Xenopus tropicalis: one gene and its partners. Each later gene encodes a partner of the first gene's protein in a complex. Links are inferred from orthologs where the notes say so. Each region holds a gene or a part of one and is shown in the gene's direction. Other genes may lie near its edges. The genes, in order: med4, med16, med13l, med25, med18, med26 and med19.

Region 1 (4,040 bases):
GGAGCTCTCCGTGCCAGTGAAAGAATCCATCCTTAAGCTGCGAAAACAGAAAAAACCCATCCGAGAAATTGTTACAATATTAGGAGTGGCAAAATCTACAGTTTGGTACATCCTGAGAAAGAACGCAACCATTGGTGAAAAAAAGACCTGGACAAAAAGACCTGGACGTCCACAGAAAACAACAGTGGTGGATGACCGTAGAATCATTTCCAGGGTGAAGAGAAACCCCTTCACAACATCCAACCAGGTGAACAACACTCTCCAGGGGGTAGGTGTATCGATATCCAAGTCTGCCATAAAGAGAAGACTGCATGAAAGTGAATACAGAGGGTGCACTGCAGGTGCATGCCTCTCCTAAGCCTCAAGAATAGAAAGGCTAGATTGGATTTTGCTAAAGAACATCTAAAAAAGCACAGTTCTGAAAAAACATTCTTTGGACAGATGAAACCAAGATCAAATTATACCAGAATGATGGCAATAAAAAAGTATGGAGAAGGCGTGGAACAGCTCATTATCCAAAGCATACCTCATCATATGTAAAACAAGGTGGAGGCAGTGTGATGGCTTGGGCGTGCACGTCTGTCGGTGGCACTGGGACACTAGTGTTTATTGATGATGTGAAACAGGACAGAAGCAGACAAATGAATTCTGAGGTGTTCAGAGACATTTTGGTGAAAAGGGTGAAATTGCCCTTTAAGCTGCCAGTCTCAGTTCCCCTAAGAGACAAATGTGTGAATTTGTATTCTCCTGAATCTCATGGAAGAAATGCTCACGTTTTGTTTACCAGTGCATTAAATAGTACTTTTGTTTGTTAAGGGGACCGCACTGTGCCATCCATGAAATGCTGGAAAACAAGAAATGTGAGTGTCCCAATATGTCCTGCCACCATGTCTAGACATGCTTTGGCCAAATGCTGTGATCATGGCCGTTTGTTTGGCTGAGGACCATGAGTAGGTTTGTGAATGGCACCAATGTGAATATGACTGAAAGCTCATCACCAGGTGAGGGGGGGGGGTTCTCCAGCCTCCACCCATAGGCCCCAGTTCAGTGAATTTGCCGCAGCCGACATCTACATCACTGCCCAACTGGCATTTGCTAGTTATGTGAGTAGGATCGCTAAGTTCCATTAAATTACTCTAGATGGCGCTGTGAAAAACGTCTGCGCTTTTCGACAGATACTTGTTTCTCTTGATTCCTTCCCGGAACTGCTCGTTAGCCCCGCCTCTCTTCCATCCGCAGACATGGCTGTTCCGGAGAAGAGCACGAAGGAAAGGCTGATGTCTTTCCTGGACGACTTGGAAGTGCTGTCTAGGTGAGGGCGTTATGCGACACGGGCATTTTATTTCTCGGGACTGCACCTAATACTTTGGAGCCAATATTGTTTCTTGCGTGGCTTTCCAGCAGCTGCAGAGCCAAATGCTTGGCACCTTACGAGCAATGAAGTTCGGAATTCCACTGTGCGGGATTCTTTGTTATAATAGCGCTGTGCGCTTACAGAGCGTTGCCCTATTATCTGGCCACCTAAAAGCCCTGTAAGTTGGGGTTTGTCCTTCCTGCTGTTCTTACTGCACAGTGGGCCAGAATAATATCTGTAAAGGGCCCCGGTTGATGTATAACGGTGGGTGGGGACAGGCCATCCCATGGGGAATAGCAGTGGCGCACAGTGATACATATGGATGTGGTTTGGCGCATGAATACTTGTCTGATCTTCCTTCAGGTTTCTTTTAGGGTGGCACCACCCCTGGTTTCCGACTGTTTTATTAGAGCCCCTTGCTCCTCAAGGTGCTGAGGAATTGCCTTCTTCAAACCCCCCTTTCCTTTAGTCAAATGGCAAAGTAAGACCTGTTGCTATTGCTTCAGCGTTATATCAGTCATTGTGGGAAACATGGGATACACTGTAATGCACCACAAGGAAAAATGACACTTTATAAAAAATACATTGACTCATGTTGCAATTCTGTCATTGTATGGTAAGCTACACAGCAGTTTGGTGTACACTAGCTCCACTGCGCTACTCTGTGTTTTTGGAAAAGCAGACAGGGCTGTATTAGAAGAGTTCATTGATGTGGTACAGGAAGGGGGAGTGTGGCTCTTCAGGGCAACTACATTTTATACTTGGCTATTGAACTCTTTTAAAGGAGAAGTAAAAGTATATTCACCGGGGGTGCCAAAATTGTAGGCACCCTGATGTTATTATAATGTATGTATGTATATCTTTATTTACATTAATACAAACGGGGTTATTAAGATAATAACAGAAATTCAAAGGATAACAATATATACAAATAAATACAAGATACAGTTGCAATAAGTTAAGAGCCAAAGACACAAAAGTATGGAGGTCCCTGCCCCGTAGAGCTTACTATCTATATAGGAGGGTATTTTTAACTATAAGTGCTGTAGGTTACAGTGGGTGACAATATAAGTGCTAGTTCCCAGATCAGGTGCTGGGTGAGTGCTCCAAGAGGTAGTCTTTAAATTTATCTTTGAAAAGACTGGGGGAGGATTCTCTCCCGAGGAAATCAGGGAGGGCATTCCAAATGTAAGGAGCAGCAAGGCAGAAAGGTTTAAGGCAGGAAACTGCAGTAGTAGTGGGGGGTGCAACAAAGCGGTTGCTCTGCGAGCAATGAAGGAGTCGGCCAGGAACGTAGGGAGACACAAGAGAAGAGATGTAGTAAGGAGCAGAGGAATTGAGGGTTAAGAGAAGGAGTTTGTAAGATATTCTTTGTTTAATAGGAAGCCACGATAAGGACTTTAGCAGGGGAAGGGCCTGAACTCTCCTGGATGAGAGGAGGAGAATTCTGGCAGCAGTATTTAAAGGAAAAAGAAAGTCAAAGTCACCAAAATGTTAGGCACTCCCAAGTGACTTTGACCACCTACCTTTTACCCCGGGCTGGTGCCCCTGTGAGGAGGGAACAGCACCAGCCCGGGGTAGCTGCCGGCGCTTCCTTCTTCCTGATTCGCTGCGCGCGCATGCGCAGTAGAGTGAAAAGCTGAACTTAAACATTAAAGTCGGCTTTTCACTCTACTGCGCATGCGCCCACCGCTGGCATTTCAGCAACGGAAGCAGGAAGAAGGAAGCGATCCGCTCCAGGTACCCCGGGCTGGTGCTGTTTTCTTCTAACAGGGGCACCAGCCCGGGGTACGAGGTAAGCAGTTAAAGTCACTTGGGGGTGCCTTACATTTTGGCACCCCCAAGTGATTTTGCCTTTCGTTTTCCTTTAATATAGACCAGACCCAACCTTTCTTACTCGTGAGCCACAGTCAAATGTAAAAAGACTTGGAGAGCAACACAATTAAAAAAAATAACTACCTGCTTTGGGGGCACTGAGAGCAACATCCAAGAGGTTGGTGAGCAACATGTTGCCCCTGAGCCACTGGTTGGGGATCACTGATATAGACTATAGGGGGAAAGATGGGAGTTAGGGAGGTGGTTAGTAGCAGGTTACAGTAGTCAAGTCGGGATAGGATGAGAGCATGCATGAGCAGCTTAGCTGTTGCAGTAGTAATTGCTTACCTGAGGCCTGGGGTTCTTCTGTAGGAGCTTATTTGTTGCCACCTTATTTTGCTTCATACTTCTCTTGAGCCCTGGTTTGGGTGCGCATACATGGCAGAGTGAAAAGCTCAGTGAAACAACAAAACAGCTTGTCACTGTACTGTGCATGTGCACTGGCCAGGGGCCAACAAGAAGGACGAAGAAATGGAAGATGATGATGTGGTGCTCCTACAGATATCAGACCTCAGGCCAGAACAGTTTTTCACACACAGGAGCACCAGCCCATGGTATCAGGCAAGTGATTATCATCACTGGGTGCTGCTTAACATTTGGCACCCCCAGTGATTTTTAACTTTCATTCTTCTTTAAGCTATCATTTGACACAGGAAACCACAATTTTGGAAGTCAAATATTTTGTCTGGCTGTTAGATCCTCTTATATTTGGGGTCTTTTTATGACTGGAAACTGGCAGGTTTACCCCTGGTTTCTTCCCCTATTTTGGACATGAAGTCATTTAGTTGGGTTATGTAAAAAATGTGCATAA
Region 2 (4,168 bases), on another chromosome or scaffold:
TGACTTCTTTGTAGATACACTGTGTATCTCATCCCACAACAAGTGGGATGAGACACAGTGAAATCTCACTTTTACATTCCCTGATTTTGCCATATTTCACATTTCCACAATCATTTTTTGGAGGGGTCTGGCGCACACAGGTACCTGGCCACCACCCTGGCAAATATTAAGCAGCGGGCACCCTTAACTTTATCAATGAGAGTGACTATAGAGCAGGGGTGGGCAAACTTTTTGGGTCAGGGGCCACATTGACTAACAGACGGGCCGGACCGGGCCGGGACAGCGTTACGCCCGGGGCTGCCATCAAAAATTATGGGGCCTCTCAGCTCCCCCCCAGCATCCTTCATGACCTGCGGCTCCCTCCGCCAGCGACCCGCTGCTTCCTCCGTCCCGTCCTTCTGTTCCCCGGCTCCCCAGTGCATTCTTTTATATGGTTGCGCCCCGTGTGTGCTGACGCTATGCGCATGCATGGGGCGCAACCAATCAGGGCCCGTCATTCTTTTAAGGGGGCCGGAGACAGCGGGCCATAGTTTGCCCACCCCTGCTATAGAGGAACCAGACCCTATGGTCCAGGCTGCCCCTGGTGCCCCCCCCCCAACCATGGTGTCTGCTTCCTCTATAGTTACACCACTGACTGTAGGAAGAAACCATCTTCACAGCATAATAAAGGGGGGAACTAAAGATTTTTAGTTTTTAAATCATAATCCTGTGTGTGTGTAAATCTATATATATATATATATATATATATATACACAAACACACACACTGTTCACAAATACACATTTTTTATTAGATGAGTGGAGAATATATATATATTAAATTAAAATAGTCCCAAATTACATTTATTTCCAAAGTAAAGTGTGAGCAAAATGTAAATGTAAAAATAGAAAGGTTTATTACTCAACGATTGGGTCTCACACAGAAGCCTTCATCTGGAGTGAAAAACAAACTAAATACATATATATATATATAAATATACATGGTTTGTTTTTCACTCCAATATCCATTTGATAAGATAAGTGCAAAATATGGAACGCTTCACGAATTTGCGTGTCATCCTTGCGCAGGGGCCATGCTAATCTTCTCTGTATCGTTCCAATTTTAGTATATGTGCTGCCGAAGCGAGCACAAACATACCTTAGCGCCGGTTCTTATTTAAAGCCCCTAGCTTTTGATTCGGTTATATTGGAGTGACAATTTTGTATGTCTATATGTATATTTACACCGAGCAGCAATAAATATTACTTGATATTGTTTTATTTACTGGGTACATGAAAAACAGAAGAGAAAGATTGAATTTATAGCTGCAATTTAGGCATTTGCCACGATGCACGCCGGGAGAGGTCGGCATGCTAATCTAAGGATGACGCCATCGGAAAGCGACATTGAGACGCTTATTCCGTGAGACGCACTAATGTAGCCGGGAACTTTCATTACTGGTTTTACGTAGAACCTTGTTATCCTACGGGATTCTGGAACCAGCAGTAACCAGAGCAGTTTAGTAGCAAATCCCCTACGCAAGGTTCTAGCATATTTTCGCTTTTTGACGCTTCTTGTCGTCCGCCTTCGTTTCTTATAGCTGCAGTCAGTCAGTCCATTCCCAATGTAAGCCATTGTGTTTCTGTTCCCCCGATCTGTAGCCCTTCTCCCATAGTTAGTAGGTGCGTGTTTGCTGTCAGCATGGATGTGGGGTACGTATGTGAGTGGGACAAAAGACCACGGACCAGTCACTGCCCATCAATCCCACTAGTTTGCGCTTGGTCTTGCCGCAATCTTATTGCTTTCACTACAGATCAGCGCAATGAGGAGGAGAAAGGTAACATCTTTTTGTTATTACAGCACCGCTCTGTGAGTGTGATTATATGTGTGTGTATTTCTATTATTTAGTAACTGTTATATGTCTACTTTTCTCTCTCTATCTATAATGCATAAAACAATTAAAAGACAAACCAAAATGAGTCTTACCCAGTGTTGGACTGGATACCAGGAGAACTCATGGTGGGCCCAGGTGTCAGTCTCCTGCTCCTGATCATTTGGCCTGTTTCATGGTCATTCCCTATTTCTGAATGGGAAGAAAGTCAAGAATTAGATGGAAGAATAGATGCTATGTAAATAAAAGAGACTTGGAGAATAAAGTGGTTGGGTGGGGAAGGAGGACAAATAATTTGGAAAGTGGGTCTAAGGTTTTCTTGTGGGTCCCTGGGTTCCCAGTCCAAAGCTGGTCTTACCAAAGAGCTTGGATTGCTTGGATTACATTTTTATATTACCATGTTTAAAATGAACTAGGTTAGTATATTAAGGGTATTTGGGTCACTAGAATGCATAGAATGCAGATAGATGCATAGACGCAGATAAAAAATTAAAGCATCTGAATCTATAGGCATACACATTACGGTTAGGCAATGCCTTTTACATTACATTAACATTTATTTATAAAGCGCCAACATATTCTGCAGCGATGTACAATAAGTGGGTTACATACATTGGACATACAGAGTAACATATAAAGCAATCAATAACCGATACAAGAGGTGAAGAGGGCCCTGCCCAAAAGAGCTTACAATCTACAAGGAGAAAGGGTTGAGACACAATGCCTTGCACCAATATAAAAATAGAAAGTATTGCTTGTAGTGGAAGCGTGGCAGCTTGAGACCTAGGTGCACAAATTCAGACCCAGGAATGTGTTACTGCAATAAATTCTACTTTTTATTTAATGTCATTCTGTGCCACTTTGTATTGTGGGGAAAAAAAATTCTGCACCTTACCCCCCCTTAGTAAATAATCCCTGCCAGCAGGCTCAGACTGCCAGTCTGTGGGTTCTGGCAAATGCCAGAGGGACTGCTGAAAGATGCCATAGACAGTGACTGTGTAGTAGAGCGCTAGTTGGGGGCTATTTGAGCTTTTGTGTGCTGAAAATGCTAGGGCCTATTTTAAATCTCAGTCCAGAGCTGCCTACTAGAATGTTAAGTGAAGAAGTGTGTATTCTCTCACAATAGTTGGGTCGTGTGAGCTGTAAGAAAAGTGCTTGTTACTGAAAAAATGCTAAACAATTGGCTGTAGTTAGCCCTCCTTCCCACCCCCATTCATTTACCTTATGAAATTTACATTGAAGTGCAAAGAGTTCATCTGTCTTCTATTATCTTTCTAAAAAGTTCAACTGTACTCAAAATCAGGCGTTTTACAATGCACAAATTTAAGTATATATTTTATGCTCTCATTGAATATATTCTTATTCGTTAAAGCAAGTATAATTTGACCATGGAGAGTTGCAACATTGCATAATTCTCACCAGATTGTTTGTTTTCCAGGGTTTTGATAAATTAAAAAGTGTTTTTACAGGAATATGGATAAATCTGAAATAACTTGATTTTTTTTCTTCTCAGATATCACTAATTTGATCCATATCCTCGACACAGAACATCCGTGGGATGTCTACTCTATTAACTCTGGGCACCAGGAAGTTATTACCAGCTTGGAGTGGGACCAATCTGGTACAGTAAAACAAATTGCTGGGCTTTTTGATAATAAACAAGAAAACCATATAACTTAAAAGGGAAGGGCAGAGAGCAAAGGGAAATATGAAGAAACAAGATAAATGTGGGAAGCAGAAAATGAATCCTTGAAGGGACATAGACAGTAGTGTTTGTAACTGTTGCTTTGGTTTTATTGGTATTTTTAGGTTCCCGCCTGCTCTCAGCTGATGCAGATGGTCGAATCAAATGCTGGGGAATGACTGATCACTTAGCAAACAGCTGGCAGAGTCTTGTAGGCAGCGAAGTGGATGGAGATCCCATAGTAGCTCTGTCTTGGTTGCACAATGGAGTCAAACTTGCTCTCCATGTTGAGAAGGTGGGTGAGATAACAATGAATATTTACATTAGTATTTATATTTAGTTGTTTGTATGCTCTTTTCTTTCACTTCACTTCACTTTGCTTATCCTTTTTGTTGTTAAGCAGAGACCATTATTTCTTTTGTCCCCTAACCATTATTTCCCTTTAAGTAGGCATTTACCACCCTTAATACTGATCTTTTTTCTCCTGCAGTCTGGTGTTTCCAGTTTTGGAGAAAAGTTCTCACGCGTGAAGTTTTCCCCATCTCTTACTTTGTTTGGTGGAAAGCCAATGGAGGGTTGGATTGCAGTCACAGTCAGTGGTTTAGTTACAGTGT
Region 3 (3,500 bases), on another chromosome or scaffold:
GTGAGCCAGATAACTTCCCATCTGCATACTGCACCAGATTTAGTTTTTGTCCATTATTCTTTATTTTTTTGATAAAACAGTTTGTGAGGTTCTCTCGCTGTTTTCCAACCCACTGTAAAAACCAGCTTGATCTTTGTTTTAATAATGGTCCAGGTTATTTATTTTTTTAGAGGTGTGGGGCTGTAAAAACCAGCTTGATCTTTGTTTTAATAATGGTCCAGGTTATTTATTTTTTTTTAGAGGTGTGGGGCAGAGGCTGGTTTCAGGCAATTTGAGTGCCATGTTATATATAGGCAACAAAAACCTGACAAGCACTTGTGAGGTGATTCAAATACAATTACAGTTTTGGGACCGGTTATCCAGAATGCTTGGGACCTGGGGTTTTCAGCATAAGGGGTCTTTCTGTAACTTAGATTTGTACTAAAAAAATAATTTAAACATTATTTAAACCCACCAATATGGATTAATAATTAGTCGCTATCAAGTACAAGGTACTGTACATTAAAAATTTTTAACTATTTGCTTAAAATGGAGTCTATGGGAGACTGCCTTCCCGTAAATCTGAGCTTTCTGAATAACAGGTTTCCAGATAACTCTGATCCCATACCTGCACCTTGTAACAGTATATGTGTTTGTTAATATAATGCCACAGAATACCGATCACCTTTTTTCTCTAATATTTAGAAAGGATATTTCTGACCTTTTGCCGCTCACCATCAGCAGGTGATGGAGGGGAAAGGGGGTTGAGTTTGACTAAAGGTGTGAACCACTCTCACTCCACCATGTGATAATGTAAAAAAAATTTTTGTCGGTGGGCTGACTCCTTAACATTATGCCATTTGTTATACTATTGTGAACTAGCACATTAAGCAAAAGTGGACCGTTTGTAGTTTGTTAAAATAAAGTACTGTGGGCAAATTCATTGCTTCTTTTTCAGCGTTTTGGATAATGGGTTTCTGAATAATAGATCCCATAGTTGTAATTTGTAGTTACTATAACTCTTTTAATAAACACGAGAGGAAAATAAAAAGTCACAATTGCTGTTTATTATATGCGCTGTACAAAAGGGATTAGCTGGAACCTTACATTGATGTTATGACATGGATGTGTAAGTTTTGCTAATGCCCATTGTCTTTTTCTGTTTTAGCTCCTTACTTATCCACATTGCAACTAGACAGCAGCCTGTTATTACCTCCTAAGAACCAGCCACCTACGGTACAAACCAGCTCAAGCCCAGCTGTGCCGTCTTGTCCTACTGGTGTTCTTTTTAACACCACTCCTAATGGCACAAGTACTACTCCTTTACCACCACCACCTCTATCCTCCTCCACATCTCTTCCTGCTGGAAACAGCACAGTACCCACTGGGTTCAATAACTGCCCATCACAGAACACTTCAAGTATTGTGGAGCGACCATTAGGAAACCAGACCACAGGAGACCCAGAGCCTAGCCAGCAGTCCATGCAGCAAGAGACCCCAGAAAAGTAAGTACAGATGCTGTATTAAAATGAAATTAAATATTTGACTTCTTGCCCAACACAACAGCAGTTATATGAAAAACCTGGTAGTCAGTTCTTAGAAGGGGATATGGAAAACAAAAAAAGAAGCTTTGTAAGAACTGTAAAAATGTACTTTTGAAACTGGGTGAGAGAACACTGACATTTCCACTGCAGTCAGTAAGTCAGACAATTCACTCCTGTACCTAGAGATTCATACACATTAGGCATCACTAAATTATTGCTGACATATATATGCATGTTTATGTGTCTTCACTTTGGGCCTGATTAGCAGTAGCAGCAAAAAGCTTTTAAGGCTTTCTATGCAGTATCCCACATGACTCCAAAGACAGTAGCATGTTTCAGCAGAAATTGCCCTTATCCTTTCCCGCTTAGATTACTGCAATCTCCTACTAACTTGCCTCCCAGACTCCCACCTCTCTCCCCTGCAATCAATCTTAAACTCTGCTGCCAGGATCCTTCTGCTCTCTCCAAAGAGGGAACCTGTTCAGCCTCACTTAAGCTCTCTTGCATGGCTGCCTGTTAAGCAAAGGATTGCTTACAAAATCCTAACATTCAAAGCCCTTCACTCCTTTGCTCCTCGCTACATTTCTTCACTGGTCTCCCTGCATGTTCCTGGTCGTCACCTCCGCTCCTCTCAGAGCCTCCGTCTTTTTACACCATTCACACCCACTGCGCTCTCTCGTCTTAAACCTTTCTGTCTTGCTGCTCCTTACCTCTGGAACTCTATCCCTGAATCCCTCCATAGGGAACTCTCACCCACTCTCTTTAAGAAAAAGCTCAGCTGTTACCTTCTGGAGCACTAAAACATTTTGCCTAGTCCTGCGCTTAAGGGAAAATGCCCATACCTGGTGCACTCTTACCTTCCAATTTGTGCTTGTATGTTACCCAACCACTTAGATTGTAAGCTCTACGGGGCAGGTACCTCCTTCCTACTGTGTCTCATACCACATGGCACTTATTCCCTGTGCATTTATATATTTATTGTATTTATTTATTATATCACTTGTCCTCCTTCTGTGTAATTCTGTGTATTGTAAGATTGTACAGCGCTGCGTACCCTTTTGGGTCTTTATAAATAAAGTTATACATACATACATGTATTCGTTTTTAGTATTTTTGTATTGCTTATTTTTTCTTTTATATGCACTGTAAATAGACTTTTTTAATAATAATATTAGTAAAATCCTGTCAAATATTTTTATGATTCAAAGGATATTTTGCTTTGTTTAATTTAGAAGGATTTTTAAACATATAATATACAGCTTGTATTGTCTCTTTTACATTAACAGTGCCACTGAGCGGGAGAAAATTGGCATTCCCACAGAACCAGAACCAGCTGGAGCACTCAGTTCTTGTCCAACAGTAGTTATATACATGGTGGATCCATTTACATACACAGTGGATGAAGACTGCCACCCTGGGAACTACTGGATGCTTGGCCTGATCAGATGTTTTACTGACATGCTGGAGAGTTTACCAGAGCCACTTCGATCAGCTTGCATACTTCAGGTAAACATTGTTTGTTTTTTATGTGTGTTACCATAACCTTTATGTGCTTTTCACATAGAGCTTTTATAAGACTTTTCTCAAGACTTGAATCGCGCTTGCTTGCAGTGACACTTATAATATAGGGGGGTGGTGGCAAAGAAATGATTATTATTTAAAAGATCTGTATACAGTGGCACCCATATTGTACGGCAACTTTGTCGACATTTTACTATTTTCCCAGGCAACTGTCAGCAGACATAGACACGCAGATGTGTCGAGTAAAACTGTTCGTATTGTACTCTACTGCTCATGCATGAGTCTAAGTTTGTGCCAGGGACACCTGGGAATAGCAAGTAAAATGGTGGAGCTTTGCTACTTTTTTCCCTGGGCTGGTGCTTCTCTTATTTTTCCTAAAAAGAGCACTAGCCTGGGGAAAAAACTTACTGACTGAATTCACTTGGGGGTCTACCATAAATGTTTAGCATCCTTGTA
Region 4 (2,798 bases), on another chromosome or scaffold:
TGGTGTTACTTCTTATATATGGGGATAACATGGTTGTAGAAGAGAGAATGATACAATCTGCTCATTTCTCCAGATGCAAGGCCAGCAGGTAGCCCCGGGCATGCCCTCCATTAGCCAAGTCACTATGATGGATGAGCAACAGAGAACACAGAATTTGGTGAGTTTTTCTTTTTCTTGAGATAATCTGTTATTTTACTTTCTATGGATGCAGCAGATAAAAATGCCTGGATTCAGCCAAATACCAAATAGCTCACAGAATATTTTATTTTCTTAAATATTCATCCATTTTAAAAATTGTTTAAAGGGAAACTATACCCTCCTTTTTGACCTGAGCTCATTCGTGTTGGCCTTATGTAGGAAAATGCTTAAATAATGTCTGAACTTTCAGAAATAAATATAATCTGTGCACTACCCACCAAAGCGGGGGGGGACTTCAAGTACCAGAATCCATCACTTCACAATGGAACAAGATAAGGGAGGGGTTGAATTTCGCTGTGAGCACAAGGGGTGGGGACTATAATGGTCTCCTTATTTTATATTTCTGGAAGTTCAGATAGTGTTTTTTTTTTTTTATACTACACATTTTATCCATAAACCCAACTTCGATGAACTCATGTCAAGGGGGGAGTAACCTTTTTTTTTTTCCTTTCTGAAAATATAATAAAGTTTCTGAGTAGAAAATCCTTTTAACATCTGGAGGAGAACCAGATACGTTTTCTCTGATAAACAGATGGTCAGTCTGCAGCCCTAAAGGACTACATGTTCCATGATGGTGCCTGAGCCATCACATGTCTATGCGCTGCTGAGAGTTGTAGTATAACACAACGTTACTGTTGCCGTGCATGGGTGGAAGAACACTTTAGAGCAGTAGCGTCAGACTCCGCTCCGGCTATGAGCTGATGTTCAAATCTTGTTGAGGGGGGTGGGGGGAATGGGACTAAATGAGTGATCATTTATATTAGTGATGATTGCTTGACAATAACACAAGGATGACTATGCTGCTTTCTTCCAGTTACACATCAGAGTACAGCAACCACAGCAAGCAGCCTCTCAGGCACCACCACAAGCCACACAAACCACCGTTCAAGCACCTGGCCAGCCTCAGAACCCACAGCCAGGAGCGATGCTCCGACCACAAAACCCTGGTGCCAACCCACAGCTACGCAACCTCCTCCTGAGCCAGCAGCCTGTAAGTATCCAGGAAACCAGATGGGAATATTTTCCCCCTATAGCTCTTCCAGATAGTAAAGCATTTACCATAACTGGCAATTGGACAGAATGGTGTGGAAATGTAAATTGTAAGCTTAGCTGGGGAAGTGACTGATTTAAGTTGCTCCTTTTAAATTCCACTGCTATATAGAGAAGACTAATCATAGAATGTCCAGCATTGTTGATGTTGGGCTATGGGGGTGAGTGAAACTACTACATTCCCAAGAACAGGCACTGTTGAGCCACAGTGTGACAGGCTGAAAATTCAAATGGCTGATCTGCTTAGGATATTAAGGATACCGTACTGAATCTTTATGTGTAGCTCCTGGAACCTCATCCTAAGGCTAAAACCATGCCCCCTACTCCTGAGTGACAGGCCCCTCCTAATGTTGATATTATATGGTAGGAAGAAATAAAAATAAATATATATTATATTATATGAGCCAGTTTTATTCTTCTACCTAGATACAACACTTAGGGGCACATTTACAAAAGCACGAATGCTCCGAGCGTGTTTTCGGGATTTTTTCGGGCGTCCGCACGACTTTTTTGTACGGCGCACGAAAAAATAGGGAAAGGTTTTACCGCTGTTTGCAATTGTTCGGTACGAAAATTTCGTGACTTTCGGATCGCCAATACGATGTTATCGTGACTAATACGATTTTTTCGTAAGCATTTTCGTGATATTTGCGATCTTCTGAAATTTTCGTTTCCAATGTGATTTTTTCCCATTCAAGATTCGGATTCGTGGATTAGTAAATGTGCCCCTTAGTAATCCCATATCTGCCTTCCAAAATGTACTGGCTATCTCTTAAAGGGGAACTCCACCCAAACACAACTTAAGCTTTTTGAAAAGTAAATATAATTCATCAATTAAAAATGTAGAAAGAGAAGAACTGTTTTGCAGCTGGATTTCAGCAAATAAAATGGTATTTATTCATACTGTTTGAAGGACCAGATTAAAGTGACCGGTATTTTAGGGATTTCTGTGTTGTGTGGGGCTCTTTAACACATTTTTGGTCCGGAAGAGACAACTTGAGACAACACCACCACTGAATTTATAAAAATAGGCGGGAATCACTATTTATTATTATTATTATTATAATAATAATATTAATAATAAATAGTGATTCCCACCTGTGTTGTGTCCTTGTTAATGAAGTTCCCGTTAATGAGGCACAATTTATCCACTGTGTAGTTTGTTACAGTTCAGTAAGTACGTAGTGCATAAAGATATGTACTCCGTCAGTTTTCTATGCTATGAAATTATGAGGTTAGTTGCAGTTCAGTCAATTCATATTGCATATAGATATGCCAGGTTTCCAAAATATATATAAAAATGCATCATCCAGGGAGAGGGAGAGAATCCCCCATGAGTAAATGCCACATGTTCCACAGCTGTTTCCTCACAATAGTGGCAATGGGGGTTATGTTACAAAAGGTGCTACGTTTGCCCATGAGCAGTAACCTATAGCAACCAATCAGCGGGCAGAATTTACTGGTTACCTGTTAAAGGCAAACATCATATTGGTTGCTATGGGTTACTGTGCCTGGCCAAACTTAGTGCTTTTTCTTTCTTGTCTGTAAAA
Region 5 (3,976 bases), about 57 Mb from region 1:
TTTCACTTTGTGCTAAAAATTAATCCTATCTGTAAAAATGGCCCCTTTATTGGAGCTCCCTATAGATTGTATCACTTCTCCGTCCAGTGTGAAATGAAGAGTGGGCGTGTCCTAATGGTCCCTTCCAGAAGCACAGTAGGAGGGGGAGAGCCAATCACAACCCTGCACTCACACAAGCAAAGACAGGCTTCAGTTCCCTATCAGGTCAGCCTAGCTGCTGATTGGTTCCTATCCTACAGTGTAGTGTACGGAGGGCCGCCGGCTCCCCAGCTCATCCAGAGAATTCAGCCAGCAGGAAGTGGAACTGATGGGCGGGACTAGTATGGTTTTGGTGGAATTTCTCAATAAATCAGGTGAGTGATGGAGGCATGGTCAATCAAGTCAGGGGTGGGGTTATGACGGGTGATCGGCCACTGGCAACTGTCAGTCTAAGAGAGTCTTGCCCTGTTTCCCTAATTTGAAAAACTGGGCAGGGAGTTTTGCCCCAAACAGTCCTCCCAAAAAGTGAGCTGTCCGAGTCAAACAGGGCAGGTCCTGAAGAGACAAAAATCAGTATTCAAGCTTTACCATTGTCATCTGTTCTGAGCAAGAAGTGGACAGACTTGCATATTTTTTGCAAGTTATAATTGAGTCAAAATTAAGCCACCAGTGCTAGCATTAACCAATGTTATCACATATTTGTAATTGCGCCAAGACAGGTTTAAGAGCAAGTAAAGATCTATGATTTGTACTAAGATATATGGTTGCCAGTAGTAGGGTGGCCCGATTACTTTAAATTTAGGGACATGTCTAAAAAATCCAGCTAGCAGGGCTGTATTGATTTTAAATGCAATCAGTGCTGCCCTGCAACATGTATTTATTAGACGTGGTCCTGAATTTTCAGTAATCTAATCACCCACCAGTAGGGGAATTTTTGGTTTTGGCAGATCGTATTGGCTTCCTACGAAATAAGGGGCAAAATACCCCCCTCCCCCCACGACTGCGTTAATACCTTCTATTTCGAGCGTCCTCTCCTTTACGGCACATACAAGCGTGCTACGTCACGGCCCAGTCTTCCGTGCCTCAGCAGGCACCCTGGTGCCCCGCCCTCACCCCAAGTGCGTCACACGCACGCAGTACGCAAATGCAAAAGCTCCTGGTGTTCTGGAGCCAGCCTCCTGAGGACTTGAGGGAGAGTTGTTTTATGGCGGGTTAGCCGTGCACTTAGGCACCGGAACTTAACTTATTAGCTGCTTGAGCTTGCTGGCTGTGCTCTAAATGAAGTAATTGATCCCGTCGCATCCCGGTTCCATTCACTTATTTACAAAATTTTGTCGGGCACTTTGTTTTAGTAAGTGTATGTATTTATCAGCTGCCGTGTTTGTACCTCTGTGTCTTTATTGTTAATGAATTGTAAAAAGAAAACACAGCTCTGCATATACAGTTATTACATAAAAATGTACACACAAAACACCTAGGATTGCTGTCTTTTCAGTAGGAAATGACTGGCCTTACAGTCTTTGTTTTACTTCCTGCTTAATAACTTTGGAATAACGTTGGGATCCCCAAACCTTATTATGCATGAACCACATAGAAAGGTAAAAAGAGTTAGGGAGGAACACACGCATGTGAATGTTCATGGGGTGCCAAATATGGGCTGTGATTGGCTATTTGGTAGGCCCTATGTGGACTGGCTAATTTGAGGCTCTGTTTGGCAGTGCACCTGTTTTTTTAACCATAACTTGCCTCCAAGCCAGGAATTCAAAAATAAACACCTTTGAGGCCACTGGGAGCAACATCCCAGGAATAAAACAACATTTTGCTAGCCTGGTAGTACTCTACTTAACAGATCTAAAAGTGGGATGACCCCCATTTATGTCTATGTGAGGCTTGTGCACATAGTGCTATGTCAGGTATTGTTAAAGGAGAAGGAAAGGATGAATCACCGGGGTTGAACTCTTTGTGAAAGATTAGGCAAAAGTAACCTGATTTTAAGGATTTGGATATAGTTTGGCCTGAAGCTTGGATTTGGCTGAACCCTGCTGAAAAAGGCAGAATCTTCACCAAATCCTGAATTAGGTGCACCCCTAAATTAAACCATACCTAGGAAAGTAGGAAAATAATCTGAAGCATTGTACTGGCAAAGTGAATGCAATTGTTTCTGTTTTTATTCAGGACAAGTTCAGGCTGGAGGGGGGTTCTAGTAGAACATAAGCAGTGCAGTATTAGTGGAGATTCAGCCTTGTCTTGACTACAATTGTAAACATATGAATATTGTGTATAATATATTTGTTTTGTTTATTTAGAGAACTAACATTTTGCAATGGAGGCTCCCCCAGTCACAACAATGCCTGTATCTGGAGGAACTATTAACATGATGGAGTACTTACTGCAAGGTAAGAACAGCCTAACAAACTGTACTGTTACTGTATTAATGGTATTAGTTTGTCCCCTCTAACCAAAAAGTCTGTTTAGGCCCCTGTTTGTTTAGCAAGGTATACGAAAACATGGTTCTAGTAGTCACTGTATATAATTTTATAGCTGTCAAAAAATGTAAATAGCATTTGGTCACGTCACGGCCCGGTCTTCCCTGCCTCAGCCGGCACAAGCCCTGGTGCCCCGCCCTTACCCCCAAGTGTGACACACGCATACAGCTATGCAGAAGATCCTGGTGTTCTGTATATAATTTTATAGCTATCAAAAAATGTAAATAGTATTTGGTCACGTTTACAGAAAATAGCCTTCTGTCTCGGCATATCATTCCATTTCTTTTTAGCCCCAAGTAATGCCAGTCCTGCAGTTCATTTATTTTCTGTTTATTATGTTTATATAATGCCAACCTGATGAAGCACTAATTATTAGTCATTTACAAAAGCCTCTGCTCACCATTGGAGCTGCTATTATAGGGTCGTAATTAGTGATGCCTTACCCACACATGCCTGGCATCACTGGAGTGGAGGGGTTTGGCAGAATAAAGATATAAATAGGATGGTAGCCAGCTAGTGGAGTGCTGCAACATGCTGACATCACAGGGTGGTACATGGGTAGAGTCAGGACTAGAACAAGAAAAGTGTTGCACCAGCCCGATCATGCCCAGCCATTGGGTCCAGACATTTTAGGCTGGTCTGTGCAACACTAGTCTCAATCAACTTCACACAACAAAGGTTTGATTAAATTAAAATTTGGTTTATCTGTATGTTTTTCGAGAAAAATAAAAACATGCAGACATGCATAGATATTCCTGTTAGATAGTGCCTAGATAAAAATCAAACTCATGGCATCTGTGCTGAAAGGCACCAGTGGTAACCACTGGTGCCTTGACATGCACTGATAAAATCCTATGACTTTACAGTAAACTCTTTTGAGCAGGACCCTGTTTTACCTCTTGTATTGGTTATTGGTTGTATTCCTTAATTTTTTTCTTTTTTAATTGACAATTTTTTTGCATCTAAAAGTTTAACTCTCAAGATTTGCATTATATCTATATGTATCTCAAATACTGAATGTGTCTGTACGTGAATCACAGGAAGAGAGAGCATAGAGAGAGAAGGAAGTGAAGTAGGAAGAAAGAAAAGGAAGAGAACAGGGGAAAGAGAAAGGAGAAAGAAGAAAGAAAAAAAAATATGAAGAGCAAATAATATAAATTATTAGCTATAATTCCTGGATATCAGCCTCAGTAAAGTTCTTCCATGAGTCCCATTGCATTGTGATATTCAAGGGTTTGTGAGAGGTTGATAAAGTTTTTTAGTTCCAGCATTGAGGGAATAAGATCGGTTTTCCATTTTTGAGCTAAAAGAAGCCTTGCTGCTTCTAATATGTGTACTGCAAGGAGTTTGTTGCTTAAAGGAACAGTAACACCAAAATATGAAAGTGTTTTAAAGTAATTGAAATGTAATGTACTGTTGCCCTGCGCTGGTAAAACCGGTGTATTTGCTACAGAACGCTCCTATAGTTTATATAAATAAGCTGCTGTGTAGCCATGGGAGCAGCCATTCAA
Region 6 (4,256 bases), on another chromosome or scaffold:
ATTTAGTAACAAGACCTCTCAAAAGGACAAGCCGTATGCATTTTGTACCTTATGGGGCACTTAATCATTAGCCTATGATTAAGTGCCCCATAAGGCACCAAACGTGTAAGACGTGTCCTTTTGAGAGGTCTTGTTACTACATAAATTCATCATTTTAACTGCATCACCATCTGCTTCAACAGTCCAGTCTTATGCCAGCCTTATTTGAAATCCAAGTGTGTCTATCACTTCCCCTGAGCTGAAGGTCTGGGGCTTGAGCACCCGGACCTCAAGAAACTGTTGGTGAGTTCTACCTTAATATATTGCATTTTTTCAATATTCATACATCAATAAGTTTTTAAGACCCAAACACAAAAACCAAGTTTTATGCAGATGGGAAGCTTACCAATTTTATTTTGACCACCTGTGCATCAACGATATCCACGAATACCATTGTACACTATAGCGCTAATGTCTCCTTGTTGAAACCAAGAATACTAACCCAAAACAATAATTATCCCCTGATCACTAGTCCTACACCAAACTAAGTTGTCTGGAACCCACCACCCCAGAAATGACTGCTTGACTGCCATATGTGAAGATGATTCATCATTTCAGAGAACCCATTTCCAGCTCCCTGCTGTCCAGTGTTATACAGCTTTACACAACAACTGGCAATGCATGGCACTCTACATGGTGATATTTAGCTTGTGTGCAGCTACTAATATTTCTTGTACTGATATAGGTTCCAGAGACAGTTTGGAACTCAGTAGAGAATGAAAAAACTGGTAATGAATATGTTTTAGAGGGCTACGTAGAACGTCTGCCTCTCCATATTTTCTGAATCTAACCTTTGTCTCTGAGATAAGGTTACAAGACAAACTAAATAAAACAAAACCCAGACAATTCTAACATATGCAGGTTGCAGGGCTGAAATAAGTGTAACCTGATTTCACTTGAATATATGGCAATATGTGTAGCACTTCTAGCTAACTTTTCTAAACAAACGTTCGATTCTTTTTCCTGCAAACTTACTCGTATGACTTATGAACTACAACTCCCAGAATTCCACAAAGAGTTCCATAGTAGTTCATAACGACCCACGGGTCGCTCTGTTTCAGTGTCGCTGACTGAGGTGATGTAGTTAAATAAGCCCCTCCTTCCAGCTAGGCTTATAGTCTACTGCACAAAAGTTGCAGGGTAGACAACAGTGTTTATTTTAAGTGATGCATCTTGCCTAGTAACAACTCAGGTGCCTAAAGGCTAGCAGGCGCACGGGCTGCCCCCTCTCTCCATGGATACCGAAGACGAATGACAGCTTTAAGTCGTGTCTGACACTTCCTACTGAGGGGGAAGATGAGAGACGTTCGTGCGTGACGTACGTGCTACCTAGGGGGACTGTGACGCCAGGACGCCGCTACCGTCACGTCACAAAGCGTGCAGCGGCGGACTTCCCGGCGTGCCTCGGGACTCCCGGTCGCTCGACTCCATCGGGAGAGACGCGTCTGGGAGTCTCCGGCTTTCTCGCTTCTTCGCTGCTCTCCCTGCGCCCGGGAACTCGTGTTCCTTCCTCCCAGGGAACATGCCGCGCCGCCCTCCGCAGTGATCCCCGGACTGAGGCCATGACAGCCGCTCCGGTAACCCCGCGGGAGATCAGGGAGAGGCTGCTGCAGGCCATCGATACGCAAAGCAACGTGAGTCAGGGGGGACAGGGAGTGGAAAGAGCGCAACACGGGGTTTCGGCACTTGATGAAACCCTCTGAACCAGCAGTGAGAAGCTAGACTAGGGACGACCGGGAAAGGGCTGACGGAGAGTGACTGGAGGCTGCTGTGACACTATCCCTTGATTATGGGTGGTTGGTGGCTAAGGGCTGGGGAAAAGAGAGGTGTCGTTACTCTGGAATGCACTTTTTGGCTCCAGGTTATTAGTTGAGGGTCACATGAGGCTGGGAAAGACCGAGTCCCCTGGAGCCAGAACGTGCAAGAGCCTTAGGGTGGTGGAGGCAGTGGCACTGACCATGCCGGGAGCTGAGAAGCCCACAGTGGAGTGCTATAGGTAAGGCAGAGCTCGATAGGAACAGCTAGTTGAGAGCCCCTTCTCTGTGGGTAGGTGAGAGACGAGTATAAAGCCTGAGAGCTGAGCAGGAAGTGGGCAACTGGGGAATGGAGGATTATGGGTCCCGGCGTTTATCTGGGGTTGCAGTCCTTTGTAGCAGGGACCCCTGGCGCTTGTTTTAGGCCATCTCGCGTTCTTAATCCGACTCTGTATATTCGAGCACATCCGTCCTTACTTTGTAGGCGAGGTCGGGGATAGGGCCTAGTCGCGGCCTTAAGTTAGCAGACTGCCCTTGTAGGCACCGGCACATGTCAGACTGCTGGCTAGGCTTGCGATGCCCGAGTCGGTGGGACTGCCAAAACACACTCCTTTGGCATATTCTTATGTTCCTGGCAGTGCAGATGTGTGCTTGTGGGGACAGGGTGCATTTATCTCATGTTGTTGGCATTACTCTGGTGTGGGCAGGCGGTGTGCTTGTTAAACTGAGAGATCTGTTCTCAAAGAAACAGAACAGGGAAAGTTCAGAATGCTATTTATTGTATTTCATTTAGAGATTTGTCATGGGTCCTTATGTGACCGATTTATCTTTGACTGAAGTGTATGGCATTTATAACTGCATTATATACAGACCTGTTGTTGTATGTGCTGTTATATTTGAGGTGTAACAACTCCCACAAATTAGAAGGCCAAGTAATTTGCAGTCAGCAATACAATTTATTGGTATGTCTCAAATTTGTAAAAGCTTTCACTGTTGTTTACAGTATATAATCTACTGCACTTTCTATCTTCTCTTGATACTTATTTTAGCATTGGCAGGATGCGTCGGCACCTATAGAGTTTAATTCTGCAAAGCACTTATGTAGCAAAAGTTTGAAGTACATTGCAGGATAAGATTTGTAACCATTATTAACATGTATCTATAAAGCATAATCTCTTTGTAAACAACTTCTGAAGTTTGAGGGTTTTTTTTACTGAAGCCTTTACTATAAAGAGTGAACACTACTATTAAATTGATAATAATCTATTGCTGAAAACCTACTTTCAGTTATAGCTTTAAATACATGTGTATTTCCTGTATCACTGGAGATATACAGCTTGTACATTTAGAAAGGATTTGGACCTTTTAATGCCAGAAGCATCTCAAAGTTATTTTGGGGTGAGGGACACATGGGTATGTACATACTGAATTAATTTGTGTCTTTAATGCTGACACATACCTTCTGAAAGTCTGTATTTGGTAGCTGTACTTTTGAAAGGCCTGTGTCTGCATGGGAATTTTTAAGCTGTAGGTAAACAAAAGCACATGTAAAAATAGATTTAGGCAACTGTGATAAAGGATCCTGGTTTCCAGAAAAGCATATATTGTTTAGGTTGGGTATGCTTTATATTAGAATTGATTTGTAATTTTTTAATATCTCACAAATAGTTAAATATTTATTGCGCTGTATTACACAGGTGTGAAAAATAACAACTAAAGGTGCTGAGCAGTACAGAGCTAGGGCTCTTTGATAGATGCATTAGAGGAAGGTACTTGTAAGTGTTGTTCCTTTCTTTCAGTAACCACTTTTGGGAGTGTTCGGGAAAAAAATCAGTAAATCGCTACACCTTTGGCTTTAGGTATAGTAGTAGCCCTATTGTAATCAGTTTGTTAGCCTGCAGAATTGTTCAGCAATTTTTAACCCTGGTTGCTACTTTGACCCTTTTAATGTTTTTGCATTTTCACTGGAGAACTCCTTATGAATCTCATATGATGTTATTGTGTAGTGCACAACATGTTTTAGAATAACGGGTTCTAAATGAAGAATCTGTTAATCCGAAAGACACTGTACACTACACCATAAAATTATTATAAACTGTCACAGTTAAGAGTTTTTTTTGTTTTTTTTTTTTATTTTAAACCCATAGAATAACTGAAAGATGAGATGTTACTTGTTCATGCTTTTTGAGAACAAGCATGCTGTTTTGTGTTTGGATTTTTTTCTGTATAGAGGCATTGCTTATGGCTTACTTTTTTTTTTCCTTATAGCTTATGAGGCACCTAGGTGACCTGTTCATACCTATGGTATGGGTTATGCTTTTATGCTGTTTCTTAAAGGGGTTTTTCACAGTTAAGTTAACTTTTAATATGATGTAGAGTGATATTCTGAGACAATTTGCAATTGGTCTTAATTTTTTTTTTTTATTTGTAGTTCTTTAGTTATTACATTTTTAGTTTAGGAGC
Region 7 (4,002 bases), on another chromosome or scaffold:
GACCCCAACACCCCTCGACCCCTGTAGTTTAATAATCTCCTGATCAGAGATTGCAGGTTTGCTCCGGGTAGTAGGGGTCCATTAGGTACTCAATGTGCACGTTCTATTAACAGGAAGGCGAAGAATTGATCCATGCCAAGTGTTTCTATTGTGCATTTGTAAATAAATACAAGATATATATGTCTTTATCTATGACCCTGCAATGAGGTATCAGCCCCTACTTGAAACATAGATTTATTAACCTGCAAACCATACTGCATGGAGATTAACTTATTATTGGTAAAAAAAAAAAAAAAAAAGTGTTTACTAGTGTTATACTAGGCTTTCAAATGTTAGCCATAAACAGTCATCCAGTTAGGGGCTATAACCTCAGCCATTATGCTTGTCCGCCTCTACATCTCAGGGTCCTAATTAAATACATTTTAGAGGACTATACGCAGAGTTCAAAGGATGAAAAACGAAACACTTACGTAAGGTTTTATCAGCTTTTTCGGCCTATCAAACAATTAAGTAGATCAATCATATCTGACCCTTAAATGTACAAACCAAATACATCAAAATTCAGCAATAAATCACTTTTCAATCAGAATGTACGTAAAATACCACTAATAAAAAGCCATCATTCTCAGCATTTCAGGCATGATAATTATAATAGAACAAATCTGAAGAAACATGGAAATTCATGATATAACAGTTTTCGATGCATTAAACCATTCAATGTAAGAGTCACCTTGAAAGTACATACCCAATCAAAGTCGCATGGATTTCCGTCCTCACGCTGTGTTGGTAAGACGCTACACACCGGGGGTACCTTTCTAACCAGAAGAAAAGATACAGACAATAACGCAGAAAGAAGGTAATAGGGCTGCGATACCCAGCGCAAAAGCCCAGGAACTGCATATAAAAACGCGAGAAGGGGTGCAAGCACAGCCATTGCCACAAGTAACGCTGATTATCTGGGAAGGAGACTCATCCAATTACATTAACTATATCGAACTGCTAAAAAGAGTGAGGTCCAACCCAACAAAAAAACAGCCAATAAAGATCAGCACAGTAGGACGTAAATCCGGAAATAGACAACAGCTAATCCAGAAGGAGTAGTGTCAGGCGTTTAACCAATTGATAGCAAGCAAGCACAAACAGCACATGCGATAGGCTGGTATGTGGAAGTGACGTTCATATTCGTCTCTTCAATGACGCTTAAACGTTTAGGAGGGGCTTAACATAAGGTTTAGGTTCATTGGTTGAATAGTAGAAGGGCTGATGTGGTTGGTTTCAGTTGCAAAGTAATGGAGGGATTTTCTGGTCTATTTGCAGCTTCTGAGCCCTCATCTATCCCTTCTGCTCCAGGGCCCCCCTCTGTTGTTCCAACATGTACTGGTGCGTTTGTGTCAGGAAAGACACAGACTTCAACTCCAACAGTACCTGGTCCTCCGCTGCCGATCCCTCCGCCACTTTCTTCTAGTTCTTCTGGAGAGGATAGCTCCCGAAGACCTGCAGCGGGGCCCTTCTATATTCTTGGTGAACTTCCAGGTGAGTGTTAACAAGCATGGGTGCATAGGACCCGTACTAAACGTGTGCTAAATGTCTGCTATGTGGCAAAATCTGAACCGCTGGGCCTTGTCTTGCTGGAGCATCAGGAGAATGGTGTCTGTGGTCTTGCTGACATGTTGTTTTGCCTTCTGATGGCTAAATCCATGTCTGGGCTGGTAAACGCAACACGATTTTACTAAGAATCTTGAATCTTCTTTTTTTTTGTATGTCAGTCTATTTTAAGCATCTACAAGGGATTTACATTTAGTCATTAGAAGAGGAAACATTTTAATTATTAATAGCATTTTTGTAGATACCCTTTTCCAACATCGGACTGGGCTGTGCCAGACCTATTGGGTTGGCACTCAAACTGGCACCCCAGGGAGTGCCAATTGGGGGAGCGCCAGTGCATTGTTTCTGGGTTGGCTGGGTCCACTGGGTTTTTTACCTGCCATTTCATTTGGATCCTGCCCTTTTCTGCTAGCGTTATCCAATGTGATTCAAAAACCATCTCAAAGAGTTGCTTATTACTACACCTTTTGTGTGGTAAACTTATTATTATTTGTCTTTCTTTTTCTAAATATGTGTATTTGGTGTCAAATATGATGACTTGAACTTACATTAAGTGCTTAAATTAAAGTGGAAAAAAGTGGAGCCAGACCCAGCTTCCTTCCTCTATTTCAGGGGTAGGGAACCTATGGCTCGGGAGCCAGATGTGGCTCTTTTGATGGCTGCATCTGGCTCGCTGCCAAATCTTTAATAAAAAAAATAATGGGGGGCGTGGACTGTGCTCGGTGGATAGAAGACGTGTTCTAAACCTTAGAACACGTCTTCTATCCACCGAGCGCAGGCCACGCCCTCCTCTGCATCGGATCCGCATCAGGCATCCTTGGGACCCACCTTACCTTGACCCACAGGATCCGCGGCCAAACATATTGTATGGCTCTCACAGAATTACATTTTAAAATATGTGGTGTTTATGGCTCTCTCAGCCAAAAAGGTTCCCGACCCCTGCTCTATTTAGAGACCCGTGCCTGCCCCACAATGATGTCACAAAAGAGGCAGGCCTTCTGGGAGCGCGCCTATAAATAGAGAAGCCTGAAGAGAGCTGCTGGCAGTGTAAGGTTGCGAGCGGAAAAGCTCGGCCCGAACCCGCAGATTATGTGCCTAGGTCAGCTTGAACCCGGCTGACCCGCAGGTATTGGGCCGGCCCATACATCACTACTGCCCAGAATTATAAGCCACACCCACTGTTATAATACACTTTGACCGCAAACAAACTCTGGTTTTATTGCCTGCTAATACACAAAGCAATAACTAAATGCAGTGCTTCCTTCATGGGACCTGTTATCCAGAATGCTTGAGACCTGGTGTTGTCTGGATAAGGGATCTTTTTGTAATTTGGATCTCCATAACTTAAGTCTGCTAAAAATCCTTTAATATTGAATAAACCCAATAGGATTGTTTTGCCTCCAATAAGGATTAATTCTAACTTAGTTGGGATCAAGTACAAGTACTGTTTTATTATTACAGAGAAAAAGGAAATAATTTAAAAACAAATTGCTTATAATGGAGTCTATGGGAGATGGCCTTTATGTAATTGGAAATTTCCGGATAAGGAATCCCCTACCTGTATATAAGTGCAATACCAAGTTCATGTATAATGCCCCCCATAACACTTAAAAGAGAACTGTCATGAGCTATAAACCCTTCCATCTTTCTCACTGTTATAATTCAAATAAATACAAAATCACCTGTACCAAACTGCATTAATTTTTAATGTAAAACACTTATTTCTCATTTCTAATTGTTTTTCAAACCAGGCATTTTCAGAATCTGAAAGTAGGTGTGTCTCTTCTGTAGCACTTGTCATCCCAGCGTTCATTTAGGCCAGGGGTTGCCAATATGTCGATTGCGGTCCACCGGTCGATCCCCCCTGGATTTCTGGTGGACTGCGACAAAGCCAGAGATGCGGAAGTGCTGCGTGAATGCGTATGTACGCACTTACGCATTCCCCAGTCAAAAAGTCTGGCCACCCCTGATTTAGGCCTTTCCACATATCCTGAATCTTAGGTCCCCTCACCTTCATCATCTCTGTGCACCACAGTTAAGTTTCTGTTGTTTGCAGAGAGGTATGCATTGTAGTAGCTGTAGGCTGTAAATTATAAGGCCAAGAAAGGAATACTGTGACAGTAAACGCACAAGAATAAAGGAAGCGTTTTGTGAATCTTGAGCAGGGGTCCCCAACCTTTCTTAAGGTAGCTGCCGATATCGGTCCCTTGGAGCGATTCGGCAGCTAATCGGGCCATGTATGGGCACTCCCAATGGGCCTGCCCGGCCGATATCTGGCCTGAAATCGGGCAGATCTCGATCGGGCAGGTTAGAAAATCTAGTTGGATCGGGGACCGCATTGGCTTGTTGATGCGGTCCCCGGACAGACTTTTCTGCCATTTTAATTCGATCGTTTGG

The links.
Region 2: med4 (region 1) and med16 share a complex: the UniProt entries of both Homo sapiens proteins name them as parts of the mediator complex. The link is inferred for Xenopus tropicalis from reciprocal best matches to the Homo sapiens genes MED4 and MED16.
Region 3: med4 (region 1) and med13l share a complex: the UniProt entries of both Homo sapiens proteins name them as parts of the mediator complex. The link is inferred for Xenopus tropicalis from reciprocal best matches to the Homo sapiens genes MED4 and MED13L.
Region 4: med4 (region 1) and med25 share a complex: the UniProt entries of both Homo sapiens proteins name them as parts of the mediator complex. The link is inferred for Xenopus tropicalis from reciprocal best matches to the Homo sapiens genes MED4 and MED25.
Region 5: med4 (region 1) and med18 share a complex: the UniProt entries of both Homo sapiens proteins name them as parts of the mediator complex. The link is inferred for Xenopus tropicalis from reciprocal best matches to the Homo sapiens genes MED4 and MED18.
Region 6: med4 (region 1) and med26 share a complex: the UniProt entries of both Homo sapiens proteins name them as parts of the mediator complex. The link is inferred for Xenopus tropicalis from reciprocal best matches to the Homo sapiens genes MED4 and MED26.
Region 7: med4 (region 1) and med19 share a complex: the UniProt entries of both Homo sapiens proteins name them as parts of the mediator complex. The link is inferred for Xenopus tropicalis from reciprocal best matches to the Homo sapiens genes MED4 and MED19.

What each region holds. Positions count from the first base shown.
Region 1 is NC_030678.2:134,878,375-134,882,414, reverse strand, and holds the start of med4 (mediator of RNA polymerase II transcription subunit 4), read left to right. Parts: upstream 1-1,240; 5' UTR 1,241-1,241; coding exon 1,242-1,312; intron 1,313-1,382; exon of another isoform or gene 1,383-1,416; coding exon of another isoform or gene 1,417-1,532; intron 1,533-4,040. UniProt on the Homo sapiens protein: Component of the Mediator complex, a coactivator involved in the regulated transcription of nearly all RNA polymerase II-dependent genes.
Region 2 is NC_030677.2:100,791,866-100,796,033, forward strand, and holds the start of med16 (mediator of RNA polymerase II transcription subunit 16), read left to right. Parts: upstream 1-1,368; 5' UTR 1,369-1,680; coding exon 1,681-1,816; intron 1,817-3,383; coding exon 3,384-3,491; intron 3,492-3,679; coding exon 3,680-3,849; intron 3,850-4,044; coding exon 4,045-4,168. UniProt on the Homo sapiens protein: Component of the Mediator complex, a coactivator involved in the regulated transcription of nearly all RNA polymerase II-dependent genes.
Region 3 is NC_030677.2:145,408,500-145,411,999, forward strand, and holds part of med13l (mediator of RNA polymerase II transcription subunit 13-like), read left to right. Parts: intron 1-1,147; coding exon 1,148-1,484; intron 1,485-2,809; coding exon 2,810-3,029; intron 3,030-3,500. UniProt on the Homo sapiens protein: Component of the Mediator complex, a coactivator involved in the regulated transcription of nearly all RNA polymerase II-dependent genes.
Region 4 is NC_030683.2:117,444,694-117,447,491, reverse strand, and holds part of med25 (mediator of RNA polymerase II transcription subunit 25), read left to right. Parts: intron 1-73; coding exon 74-157; intron 158-1,012; coding exon 1,013-1,189; intron 1,190-2,798. UniProt on the Homo sapiens protein: Component of the Mediator complex, a coactivator involved in the regulated transcription of nearly all RNA polymerase II-dependent genes.
Region 5 is NC_030678.2:78,266,575-78,270,550, forward strand, and holds the start of med18 (mediator of RNA polymerase II transcription subunit 18), read left to right. Parts: upstream 1-1,176; 5' UTR 1,177-1,330; exon of another isoform or gene 1,331-1,336; intron 1,337-2,285; 5' UTR 2,286-2,302; coding exon 2,303-2,375; intron 2,376-3,976. UniProt on the Homo sapiens protein: Component of the Mediator complex, a coactivator involved in the regulated transcription of nearly all RNA polymerase II-dependent genes.
Region 6 is NC_030677.2:112,239,084-112,243,339, forward strand, and holds the start of med26 (mediator of RNA polymerase II transcription subunit 26), read left to right. Parts: upstream 1-1,456; 5' UTR 1,457-1,601; coding exon 1,602-1,673; intron 1,674-4,256. UniProt on the Homo sapiens protein: Component of the Mediator complex, a coactivator involved in the regulated transcription of nearly all RNA polymerase II-dependent genes.
Region 7 is NC_030683.2:55,853,112-55,857,113, forward strand, and holds the start of med19 (mediator of RNA polymerase II transcription subunit 19), read left to right. Parts: upstream 1-1,202; 5' UTR 1,203-1,289; coding exon 1,290-1,533; intron 1,534-4,002. Other genes in the region: tmx2 (thioredoxin-related transmembrane protein 2 precursor), read right to left, coding at 746-934. UniProt on the Homo sapiens protein: Component of the Mediator complex, a coactivator involved in the regulated transcription of nearly all RNA polymerase II-dependent genes.